2 linked regions of the Bombyx mori genome follow. The protein of the gene in region 1 purifies or fractionates together with the protein of each later gene. This does not show direct contact. Links are inferred from orthologs where the notes say so. Each region holds a gene or a part of one and is shown in the gene's direction. Other genes may lie near its edges.

What was found. Proteins that work in one complex are often made in the same cells at the same time.
Region 2: the proteins of nuclear RNA export factor 1 (region 1) and ran GTPase-activating protein 1 purify together in Homo sapiens (co-immunoprecipitation; 3 studies listed by BioGRID and IntAct, with this or other methods). This does not show direct contact. The link is inferred for Bombyx mori from reciprocal best matches to the Homo sapiens genes NXF1 and RANGAP1.

The regions. Positions count from the first base shown.
Region 1 is NC_085124.1:4,528,912-4,535,336, forward strand, and holds the start of nuclear RNA export factor 1, read left to right. Parts: upstream 1-2,260; 5' UTR 2,261-2,645; coding exon 2,646-2,703; intron 2,704-2,918; coding exon 2,919-3,512; intron 3,513-3,835; coding exon 3,836-4,026; intron 4,027-4,461; coding exon 4,462-4,571; intron 4,572-5,996; coding exon 5,997-6,033; intron 6,034-6,154; coding exon 6,155-6,402; intron 6,403-6,425.
Region 2 is NC_085117.1:345,973-352,499, reverse strand, and holds the start of ran GTPase-activating protein 1, read left to right. Parts: upstream 1-2,884; 5' UTR 2,885-2,896; coding exon 2,897-3,137; intron 3,138-3,454; coding exon 3,455-3,642; intron 3,643-3,957; coding exon 3,958-4,092; intron 4,093-4,723; coding exon 4,724-4,876; intron 4,877-5,489; coding exon 5,490-5,659; intron 5,660-6,527. Other genes in the region: cytoplasmic aconitate hydratase, read right to left, coding at 695-707. UniProt on the Homo sapiens protein: GTPase activator for RAN. Converts cytoplasmic GTP-bound RAN to GDP-bound RAN, which is essential for RAN-mediated nuclear import and export. Mediates dissociation of cargo from nuclear export complexes containing XPO1, RAN and RANBP2 after nuclear export.

The DNA.
Region 1 (6,425 bases):
ATAGGACAAAACATGGCAGACTTGAAAAGCACTTCTGTTGTCTGTGGTCAATTTCTTTTTAAAAGCGACTTTATACGTTTCGTTTCTTTTATCGAATAGACTTAAAACCATTATTTGCGGTATTTAGGTTTTTAGTAAAATGTTTCATTTTCATTTCTAAGATTATGATTTTTTAAGCATGTTCAATAAAATAAACACAAAAAGATTTAATCATTAAACATTATAATTTTTTCCAAAAAAATGCCATAGACAAAATAATGCTACCAATTAATAAATATTGCCGAGATCCTCCCAATTTTTTTATAATGGAAATATGTTTTTAATCTTTAACCAAATAATCCTCCCTCCTCCTCCCTTTTTTTTATTGCCCTTATAGGCAGACGAGCATACGGCCCACCTGATGGTGAGTGGTTACCGTCGCCCATGGATTTTACCAATGCCAGAAGCAGAGCCAAGCCGCTGCCTACCGCTTAATACTCTCCACAACTTCTGATTGAACTGAAAAATTCACTAGTCTTCTAATCTTGCAATGTGATAGCACTCTTGCAATAAATTTAATTAATAATTTTTAATATAATTCATGTTTGGTATAGGTCTACCAGGATCTGATGGCAAAAAGGGAACAAATCAACGATCAAGGATAATTTTTGAAGATCTTACTGTGGCGAATGTGGGGTTCGAAATTTAGATGAAAACTCCAATTACTCTTCATGAATTTATAAATTAATTATAGGCTATCAGAACTAGTGGTCGTCGTGGCCTAACGGATAAGACGTCCGGTGCATTCGTGTTGAAGCGATGCACCGGTGTTCGAATCCCGCAGGCGGGTACCAATTTTTCAAATGAAATACGTACTCAACAAATGTTCACGATTGACTTCCACGGTGAAGGAATAACATCGTGTAATAAAAATCAAACCCGCAAAATTATAATTTGCGTAATTACTGGTGGTAGGACCTCTTGTGAGTCCGCGCGGGTAGGTACCACCACCCCGCCTATTTTCCGCCGTGAAGCAGTAATGCGTTTCGGTTCGAAGGGTGGGGTAGCCGTTGTAACTATACTGAGACCTTAGAACTTATATCTCGAGGTGGGTGGCGCATTTACGTTGTAGATGTCTATGGGCTCCAGTAACCACTTAACACCAGGTGGGCTGTGAGCTCGTCCACCCATCTAAGCAATAAAAAAAAAATAAAAAAAAAAAAAACTTAAAAATGGTTCCAAATACTGCACATCCATAAAAAAGTCTTTATCAGAAGAGGAAGATAAGGAAGGCGCAGTATTTTTACCACCTTTCCTCTTTTTGCCCTGCGTACTAAATACATCTCTGTTAGATCTGCCTTCAGCAACAATTCGTCTTATGGTAGTATTTATTTATTTATTTATTTATGTGCGTTCCCCTGACGAGTCATTGTCAGGGACATTTTTTATGCTTATTTGCTTTTTTGATAAATTTTATTTTTCACCATTTGTAATGTTAGGTTCGTATTTCGTTCTTTTATAATTTTCGTTTCTCTGCTTATTACTATAACCTGGAAAAACCAAAATCCGGTCGTCCAAGATTTTCGAGAACACTCGAAAACGTAGACAGTGTTGCCCAGTCTATTCGGGACGATCTGAACCTTTCAATTGAGAAGCGTGCGGTGGCCTTAAACGTGCACAGATCGTCGTGATGCCCTATTTTGCATAAAGATTTAAAACTGCACCCGTACAAATTCAGTTGGTGCAAGAATTAAAACTTCAGGATACTGGTCAGAGGTCAATTTTTTCCTGGCAAATTGATCTCCAGGAGAGGTGACATAAGTTGGCCTCCACGCAGTCCCGATTTGACATCTATGGACTTTTTCCTGTGGGGTTATATCAAATCCAAAGTTTACACCAACAAATCGACTTTCACACACAATTAAAAGAAAATATCTATCACGAAAGCCATCACGGAGAACACCTGCCGAGCCGTCATAGGCAATTTTAGTGCTCGATTAAACGAATGCCCTGAACGCAACGGTTTACATTTCGACGATGTCATTTTTAAAAAATAAATTCCAAAACAGTGTATTTTAATATGTAATAAACATTTTTTCAATAAACTCCTTACTTTTTTTAAAATTATATTTTTAAATATGACATTTCCTTTGAGACCCTTCCTTCGTTTTTTTTATTATTCATAAACTATTTTCAATAATTAAAACAGCGAAACATAAAAATCTTTTACTTGACGCTGGCTAATGCACAAACCGTACGGAGCCAAAAATAAAGACGAAGTGTAATCCATAGGTTATACAGGTGTATAATCTACAAATGTCGCCATCCATTTTGTTTCACATTGAAAAAGAACAGGTTTAAGATTCACAAGAGAGACGCTATTTAGTTTTTGGTGATTAATTTTGGAAATATTTGGATTGCTAATAACGTCCAAATATATAATTTAACTAACCATACTTAAAATTTATTGAGTGTAGGGTAATTTTACACCATCAAAGTTGTTTAACTCTTTTGTAATTTGCGTTGTTAATTAAAAAAAGCTATTATTCAATTATCATTGGCTTTATCTCAGTTAACTATTCTACACGCATGTGAGAAAATAAGGAAACCTTAAAGAACTACTTTCACGGTATTTGTATACTGGTGATTAAAGCTTCTTCGACACGATGCCAAAACGTGGCGGTGGAAGGAATAGAAATTGGAAGGCTGATACTGACCATTTTGGTAAGTGGAACACTTTTATTTATATTCTGTTGTGATTTTGTAGTTCCTACAGTGAATTATCAAAAAATAATGTATTCCATTGTTGTTAGCGCTACTTATGTTTAATACATAAAGGCAAAATCATGCATCATAAAGTTCATGATACCAATGAATAATATATGAGTTTTTAAAGTTATTGACTATTAATACTTGATTTACAAATGATATACTTTCAGAACACGATGACCGTGTCAATAGTGTGCCGAGACATGTCAGTTTTAAACCTGGAGCTAAAGGAAAAAATAAATTTCGAACTTGGAAAAATCCTTTAGCCCTCCTTGATGATGATATTGACATGGGTAGTTCTGCTCTTCAAGGACCGGTCCGGAAAAGTTCTTTCAGGGGACGTGGGAGAATGTACTCTCCAGCTCCGCAAGGAAGCCACGGACACACTAAAAAGAAATTTATTCCTGGTGTACTGCCTTGGTACCAAATAATCATTCCATATGGAGCAAAACATGAAAAAGATGTTATCCTCCGAGCCTTGTTGGGTTTTCTTTCACCCGACATATTCATTCCACATTACTATAAAGTCAATGGAAATGCTGCAGTATTCTATGTTGATGATGTCAAAACAGCTGAAAAACTTTATAATGCTGATAGAAAGATCACTATGTCAGATGGTTTTAAGTTAATTGTTATTGTGAGGAATGCTGTTCCAAACATGGCCATTGACGCTGCCATGAAAGAGAAGATGAAATTGACAATGGCGAAGAGGTATAATGCTACAACTAAGGCATTAGATTTAACAAAATTCCATGCTGATCCAGGTGATTGTCCAATTATATTGTTATTGCTTTACATATTCATTATTTACAATACATTCATTGCAATGTCTAAAATTCAACTTGTTAGTAAACAGCTTAGTAATACATATTATAATTTCTTTTTCATTCAATTAGAGATATAATAAGCTAGACTTTTGGGAATAATTTCTTATGGGCCCACATAAGCTATAATCTATTTAAGAGCGCATACTGGTTTGCCCTTTTATAATGCAGCAATGTAACAACAATATTTATAACCAGTTATTTTATAGAATGTAAAGACAATAGTTTTACTGGGTGAATATTGAAATAATACTATTTTTCAGATCTAGAAGATATATTTTGTGCACTGTTCCGTCCAATGATAATGTTGGCTGCTATAGATATAATAGCAGAGAATATTCCAGACATAGAAGCTTTGAACCTAAATGATAATAAGCTTCATGGTTTGCAGCATCTCAAGGTTTTGTCTTCAAAGCTCAAGAATTTGAAAATATTGTATATGGGCGATAATAGGGTAAGACAAATACATTTACGACAATTTAGACCAGTGTAAAATTTCAAATGACTGATTCATATTCATATCATCATCTTCAGTGCACATTCCTATCTAGGCATAGTTTGAATAGCCCCACAAGCTAACAGTAATTAGGTAGGATACAAAATCCCTATCTACATTTGACAAATAAATTTGTGGTTTTTTTTTTCTTTATTATATACCCCAACTAACAATCTTTGCAATTAATTTGTTTTCACATGCACTATATCTGATTGTTAAGGTAGACATTTTTCTCAATTTTGTGTAGTGTAAGTATTTTTCTACTAACTCATCATTTGCATTACATTAGTAAAATATAAAATAAATGTAGTAAACGAAAGACATCTTTAAAAATATATGAATGCTATTAAAAAACCAATAATGTACATTAATTATCATTTAAACCTTTTCCAGATTCCATTCCTTGGATCACTGGACCCAATCAGATCATTACCGCTAGTTGAGCTATACCTCAAAGGAAACCCACTGGTGAACAGGTTTCATGATCACGAAATCTACATAAGGTAACGCTAATGTTGTAGACAGTATCTTTGGGGTCACACCCCAAGATATTTTGAATATCCTATAACACAGTTTACCATTAGCGTTAAGCCATGGAAACTTGACAGCTATATAAAATCAAACTGTGGCAGTACTGTTGCTGAATTGTGCTTGTTTAAGTAGATGAAATGAGTAAAGATGTTTTTTATCATAAGTTAAATTTGTGATAACATATATTATATTCCTATACTGTTTATAACAAAATCAGTAAAATATCCCTTAATAAAATATACTTATAGTTGACTAATCTTTTTAAAAGACATAATTTTACATAGCAAAAAATTGGCAGGATAATTCCATAAAATTTCTTGGGAAATGTCCCAACAGACAATGAGCCTTCTTATTTCCATATTCCCCTGACTCACATATTTATCAGAGTATTAAAATAATTGATACAAAATAGTAACATTTAAAAATATTTACCTAGGAATAGGTCACTCACAGCATTATATGTAAAAATGGCCCAACTGTTTAGTAATCTTGGAAGAGTTTTAGTGCAGTGGTATGAGACATAATATCAAATATGTGGAATAATTTAAAATCAGACTCATCCCCATTGTACATTGCTGTTATGAAATTATATTAAAATTATTAGTACTTGGGCTTCACTAAGGAAATTGGGTATTCTATTGCTCATTATTGTTACTTTACTATTTTAATTTTATTTGAGGTTACCCTGCATCCTGTGTACTATCACTCCGTATAACCTTTTTGTCAAAATAATTCTCAATATTAGAGGCATAAATAACATCTGATATCCATCATTACTAACTTGAGCATCGCAAATAGATGGAAAGGTTTTTTTAAATAATTCATCTAAAAATAGTTCCAAAGAATCATTTTTGACAGAAATATATTATTATATTAATATGTATATATTTTTTAAATAGTATATATTACCTCTTTACCTCCAATATTGAGGTTTAAATTTGAATTATATAATTTTAAGCAATAATTCAAATAAAAATAATTATCTATTTAGTTTTTATTAAATAATGCACACAAACACAACATTGAAGCACATTTGTTTACAACACTTTATAAAAGTAAAAGTATGTAAACAGTGTTTAAATAATACTTGCTACAAAAACTGTTTACTACTATTTAGAGTTTATCTGTGTGACATGTATTTTCATTAAATAAAAATCAAAGAGTAAAAAAACTAAGCAATTATTTTTCCCTAATTATACATTTGATATTTTTGAACAAGTTTTTCACTTAATGTTATGATGTCTCACAATAGAAATTTCAATATCTAAATAATTATTGTTAACAAATCTGCTATCATGTAATCTCAATAAATGAAAAACATTTTGTGTGTTTCTTAACGATTATGAGTTTCAGAGTTCAAATTTGAAACATGTTTCCATAATGTTTGTTCTCTCCAGTGATGTCCGGAAGAAGTTTCCCAAGCTGACAAGATTGGTAAGTCTTTTTTTTATTTTCCGACTTATGTTTATGCTTTACTATTTGTTGCAGTTTATATAATCTCATCACGCCTATTGATTCAACATTGTAAATAAACATAAAATTAAAAAAAAATTAGGATGGCGCGGATCTTCCACCGGCTATTGGATTCGACGTAGCTGAAGATATGGGACTTCCCCCTCGGCAACAATCGTTCCTGGTAGACCCGGCGGGTCAGGATCTTGTCAGGGAGTTTCTCACTCAATACTATGCGATATACGACTCGGAATCTCGGCAACCACTTCTAGAGGCGTACCATGAAAATGCTACAATGTCGATGGCTGCAAATTATTTAACTAATGACAGCAGGAATTCTACGACAACTAGGTGTGTAATATTTATTTAAATTT
Region 2 (6,527 bases), on another chromosome or scaffold:
CGAATGCTGAACCTTTACTATCATTTAATCTGCCACACAAAGGAAAGGTTAAGAGTTTATCTGCCAATTTATTTGGAATGCTAGGAACGTAAATAGAAAGTATTAAATGAGTGCTATTTTATTGTGTTTAAAAGCCCAATGGACATGAACAATACCAGCATGATAGCTAATGTACTTTGGCCTTTCGCTTACAACTTTTTTATTTTGCTTAAATACCATGTTTTGATCTTCTTCTTTGTCAGTAATGAATAAGGATGTGTTGAGAATTGTTTTCAATAGAACATAATGAAAATGTTGCAGTCCGCTGGGCTGAATTAAGAAAACTATGAGCATGTTTCAAGGTCAAATCGGTTTACTCTTAATTCATTCATAAATACTGAGGCTCATAGAAATTTGTAACCTTTCACATATTAATTTTATAAAATTTAATGATATGTTGTGTACCTCTGCAAATAGATTTATTTTATCATTAACATAGTAGTATTGTCATTTTTAATACTATTTCGAGTATTCTTAACTTGGACATTGTATGTACACACGAAAAAAGAAACTTGGGGTCAAAATTCGGCCTAACAATTTTATGGTGCCGATAGCATAACCGCGTCTTTGAATAATAATTAAACAGGAGCAAAGGTTAAGCAAAAGAATACACTAGAATTGTTTGAATAAACATGCATTTTACGTCAAAGCGTACTTTTAAGACACATTTCATTGATAAGATAATATGCAGACTCTAGCGATAACGAAACTGAGATGAAATAAACCACTTATCCCACACTAAAATACGATTTTAATATTTTTTTAGTTTTTTTTTAATTTTAATTTTTTTATTAATAGTGTTCAGTTACATACCAGCCATAGTTGATAGCCGAAAAGTCACGTCGCCAATAACACTAGAGATTGATTATGGTTCAGTTTATGTTAATCGAGTATTTAATGAGATTAGGTTTTGTATCAATTCACGTCACAGTATTCAACCACGAGTTTTTATGGTCTGACACTGACTGACTTGACGGCTATGAGTTGCGGTGACGTAGCCCCCCTCCCGACACCACTTCAAGTATCGCCTCTCTTAGTAGGCGCTGTAATTCCGTTCCCGCCATAACGATCTTGACAAGTTCATACTTTGGACCACACAAAAATCAAGTAATAAAGGGCGACCCTCAACAGAGGAATGAAGGAATGACGTTCCGTCCTCATGGAATGTCAAAGTGTGACCCACTGCGTTCTGGCACGGTTGTTTCTACCCCATGCTCTGCATTAATCATGAGCAAAATTATGTACTTATAATAGCCGGCAAACTTCTTGAGCATTTGTTGACGTAGTGGGGGTAAGTTTGCGCATGGTACACTCACGTGCAAAAACATTATTTACTCTGCGTCATAATGCAATTAAATTATTAAAATCAACATATGTATTTATTTATATATTTATTAGAACATTAACAAAAAATATAGGTTAATAATTGTAATAATTTAATCTTGGGGTAAAATAGATATTCCTTCTATTAAGTCAAAACTAGAGCTGTTGCCAGGTCTTCGTTCAGTTGAAGCGAAGCTGGTATTTGTAATTTTTTTTTCGTTATCATAATCTTGACCATTATCATCATCACTGTTTTCATCACCCGAGTCGCCATCATCGTGATAAGTCGACATAGGGCTCATCGGTGTAGTTTACGACTCGGTCGGTTCGATCTTCTTTTTTGTCTATAATTAATTATTTTTTGAAGATATTCGATTCGTAGTAATCGAATGTTACTTTTTTCAGTTACCAGCTTCCGATTATTTTCTGTTTTTTTTTTCCATCTGAAGCCTAGCTCTTTCATAATTCGTCGTAAACTTCATACCGAGCCATTAAAATGTATATCTTCTTTAAAATTTTCGAAGCCTTTCTACGGTACGGAGTTTCGCTGCTTGTTATGTAGTTATTATGATTACATCTTTTTATTACAGATTGAACGAAACTATCCATTCCGGTAACTTTCTTCTTCCCTGATCTTTTCTTACCCGGAGTCCCAAGCACGATGAGCAAGCCAGAGCCTTTAGCTTCGTTAATAATGCACCTAACAGTACTCACTGATGTTTTTGTTGCTTCCGAAGTCTGTTTTACTTTTTCCATAATATCATTCTTCCCCTGTTTTATAATGAAGCAATATACGTCGTACACAATTTTTCTACCCTTTCTTTTGAATACTACACCAGTTTGTCGCGGCATAGTGTATTTTTTATAAAAAATCAACAAACACTCAACAAATAGCAATGGCAACAAAGTCAACAAGCAATTATAACAAAATATAACTTAACGATTAATAACGATATACTTTTCACTGTACGCAAGCGTACTTTTGGGAGCAAGCGGAACGAAGGCGCGGTGCGGGACGCAAGGTTCGACTGATCTACCAATAACGCGCTCGATACGATTTCCCCTGCCGTCGCGCCTCACCCTCACCACCAAAGTGATCTAAAATTCGGTTCTGCGCAGTCAAGGTCATTTGCTCACGATGTTTGCCGGTTACTATACCAAGAAGAAAAGAGATATATATATATTTTGGATATAAAGATAATTATCATCCTTTTATATATTTAACTCTTTATATTTTAATGAATTAATAATGAAAATTGCCGACAAGATGAGTTAAGTAATATTAATTCTGTAAAATATAAATAGCGGTCTGATTTCCTTTCATACTTAACAGGCTTAGGCCTGTCAACTTAGTTGCAAAAGTTTAAATACCTACATAATTTAATAAAAATTATATTTATATTAAATATTCGATCAAATCAAACAACCAAGCGATCAATCGAATAAGTCGAATTATTCGAATGAACGAAGTGATGGTTAGTTCATCGAGCTCATCACTGTTTCATTAAAATGTCAATGTCTATGTCTTTGTCAAATGAAATTGACATGTTCGGAAACCACAGACAATATCAAAATAATTGAAAAAAAATCCGTTGGAGTACATAATTGCGTTTTTGCGTTATATTTATTTTCTATTTATTATATTTATTACATAAACTGTAAAATGGCCACTTTCGATTTAAATTCATTAAACACAGTGCTTGATGAGCCCGCACAGCCGGAAACCGGTGTCGATTTTTCTGGAAAATCTCTAAAATTGGATACCGCGAAAGATGGTGGGTCTATTAACTAGAGCGAAGGCCGTGTAATTCTTAACACGCATAGCTAATCAAATATTACATAAAACATACTAGTTGTTTATTTGAAATTCACTAGACGCGCATGTAAAAAAATCGTCTACAACATAACCTAAAAAAGTGAAATAAAAATAAACAAAACAAAATTTGACGCGATCTCGTGTTTGTTCAATTTGCTTGGAAATAAAGTATATTTTCTATATTAATCAGATTTGGACTTGAAATCATAGCCATAGTACCAAATTTGATACTGAATGAATGAATGTGTTACCTACATCAAGCTTAAATTGTTTCAGCACAACAAATTGTAGACGCGATCAATAAATGCCCGAACCTCCAATATCTTGCGTTGACCGGCAATACACTGGGTGTGACGGCCGCCCATGCGATCTCCAAGGCCTTAGAATCACACCCTGAACTCAAGATAGCCAGATTCTCGGACATGTTTACTGGGAGAATGAAAACTGAGATCCCGCCAGCTTTGGTAAGGCTTTTTCCCAAAATCTAAAATGAAGAGGACTTTTTATTGCTTTTGTAGTCAGACGCTTATACAGCTTAGCTAATGATAAGGGCTATCTTTGATAATGAATATGAGTAATGTCACATGCACAGCCGAGCAGCTGACTAGAAACAATTGAATTTATTAAATGTCAAGAAATTTAATTTCAAATTAAAGTTTTTGTAGTCTAAAGGACATTTGTATAGAGCGAATCCTGAAGATAGGTATTCATTTACCACATTTAGGCTGGTGACAATATCTAGGGGGTATCACTTATTATTAAGATTATTTCATTTACAGAGTGCTTTAGGTGATGGCATGATAGCAGCTGGAGCTCGTTTAGCTGTGCTGGACCTGAGTGATAATGCATTCGGCCCAATAGGAGTTGAAGGTCTTGCTAAGCTGCTGCAAAGTGATGTCTGCTCTGACCTAGAGGTAATTTGTTTAATAGCTCTTGATAATGAATTTACAGTCATATGGTACAGGACCGTGTGGGAGGTCACCAATGCCATGGGCCGACCAAATTAAAACTTCATTGGGAAGAAGAAGAATGAATCTACAATTAATGCCAGACATATAACCCATTGAGTTTCTTGCCGGATCTTAGTGGATTAAAATCCTGAGCTGCTGATAGAGTCAACAAAGCAATGCTCTTGTTAGAGCAAATGTTAGCAAAGTCTCTCAAGCTGAGCTCCATTAGCTTGCCCGATCACAGTGAAACTTTATTACGCATTTAAGGCTTCTGGCGATTATGTAGGGACACAAAGAATCAAATCTTTATCACTGGATAGGTGGATGTACATATTCGGCATGCCTGGCATTAAGTGGTTATTGTTTGTGTAGACTGACTGATGCCATACTCAAGACATGTATATCTATGTAATATGATAAAAAAATTGCATCTTTCTCTACGTAAATCAATTTTTTGTCTTATCATCAAATTGTTCTCAAAAATCTTTATAATAAAATTCCCTTTTTTTGTTTCATTCCCACTGCTATAATTTCTAGCACTGATCAGATGTATTTATTAAAATCACTTTATAAAGCTTACAAAATACGTTTCCAGGAGCTTCGTCTGAACAACAACGGCCTTGGCATAACCGGTGGTAAGTTGTTGGCACGCGCACTCTCCAGTAGGAAGCGGAGACTACGGGTCTTCATAGCCGGGAGGAATCGTTTGGAGAATGACGGTGCCACCGCGCTGGCCAAAGTTTTTCAGGTGTGTTCATTTCTATCAAGCTATCTCGACCCCAGGCTCCAAGTCTAAAGTATTTCCATTACTGAATAAAGAATATGAACCTGAGAAAAAAAACGTCAGCCATAGAAACATTGATTGAAATGAAAAATATTATAACTTACTAGCTGACCCGGCAGACTTCGTAGTGCCTCAATCGATAAATAAAATACCTAAACTTTTCTATAAAATAAACTTAAAACAAACAAAAGAAATCTATCCGACGAGTGACACATCAAAGTAAAAACAAAATTGTAATTTTTATTTCATTCCGAGCATTTTCATATTTATCTACCTTTTAAACCTTCTCTGGACTTGCACAAATAATTCAAGACCAAAATTAGCCAAATCGGTCCAGCCGTTCTCGAGTTTTAGCGAGACTAACAAATAGCAATTCATTTTTATATAAATAGATAGATTAGTTTTCTTTTCAATGGGTCAGTACCAGACAAATACATAACAAAAAGCAGCTGATTTGCTAAAGCGGTTGATAATTTCCTTACAAAGGTGATAAAAATATACCTGATTAGATCTGGGCATCTCTCAGGTGTTCATTTGTTTATGCAATATAAATAAAATATTGTACACTTGTTCACAGGAAATGGGTTCCTTAGAAGAGATAGCTATGCCACAGAACGGTATATACCATGTCGGTATAACGGCTCTATCGGAAGCATTCAAACACAACCCGGCACTGAACCATCTTAATTTAAATGACAATACTATCGGGGCTAAAGGTGCTGAAGCCATTGCCGGTGCCCTGCCAAGGTAAAGTAAGCACTGAGTGAATTATCAACTTCTATGTCATTATTGTCTTATTATTTTATTTAGCGAACTAGCGGCCCGCTCCGGCTCCGCTCAGGTCTTTAACAAAAATGTCAACAATATTTAACAAATATTTGACATTGTTTTATTTTTTTAAATAAAAGAACACTTATTGCTGTAGTATTCCAGATGGTCTGTATGTATACTACTGTTAAAATTACGGCACAATCGTATTTATAGTGAAAACCACAACTATAACTATAACTATAACTTGTATATATGCGCTTTATCTTGAAAATGTCGTAAGCGAGATTCAGGCATCTGTCAATTATCTTGCGTTGTATGATGGCTACCCGCCACATTGCGGCTTAACTATAATAGTTAGACATATGCTGTTGGGACACTTTTTGTGAATAATAATGTGTTCTACAAAGTCGTAGGACATTATTTTATTCTATCATCAATGGTTTTCGCAGGGCACGCGATGTAAAGAATATTTTAGGTAATTTTTTTACACCTTGGGTTACATTATTGGAGTTTTAGTAAGGATTCCTATTTTTTTTTCAAAAAGATTATAGCCTATGTCACTCGGTAATAGTGTAGCTTCCAAACAGTGAAAGAATTTTTGAAATCGGTTCAGTAGTTTCGGAGCCTATTCAATACAAACAAATAAACAAACAAACAAACAAACAAATCTTTCCTCTTTATAATATTATTATAATAGTATAGATTACAAACTTAAGCCTATGTGTTCGGTAACATGTCAATTACACAATAAGTCTGTTTAACCATTGACGTTCCAATACTATAAAAATGCAATTTTCTACAAACTGTTGAGTTGAATTTAAGTTTGGAATTGTCATGTTTATTA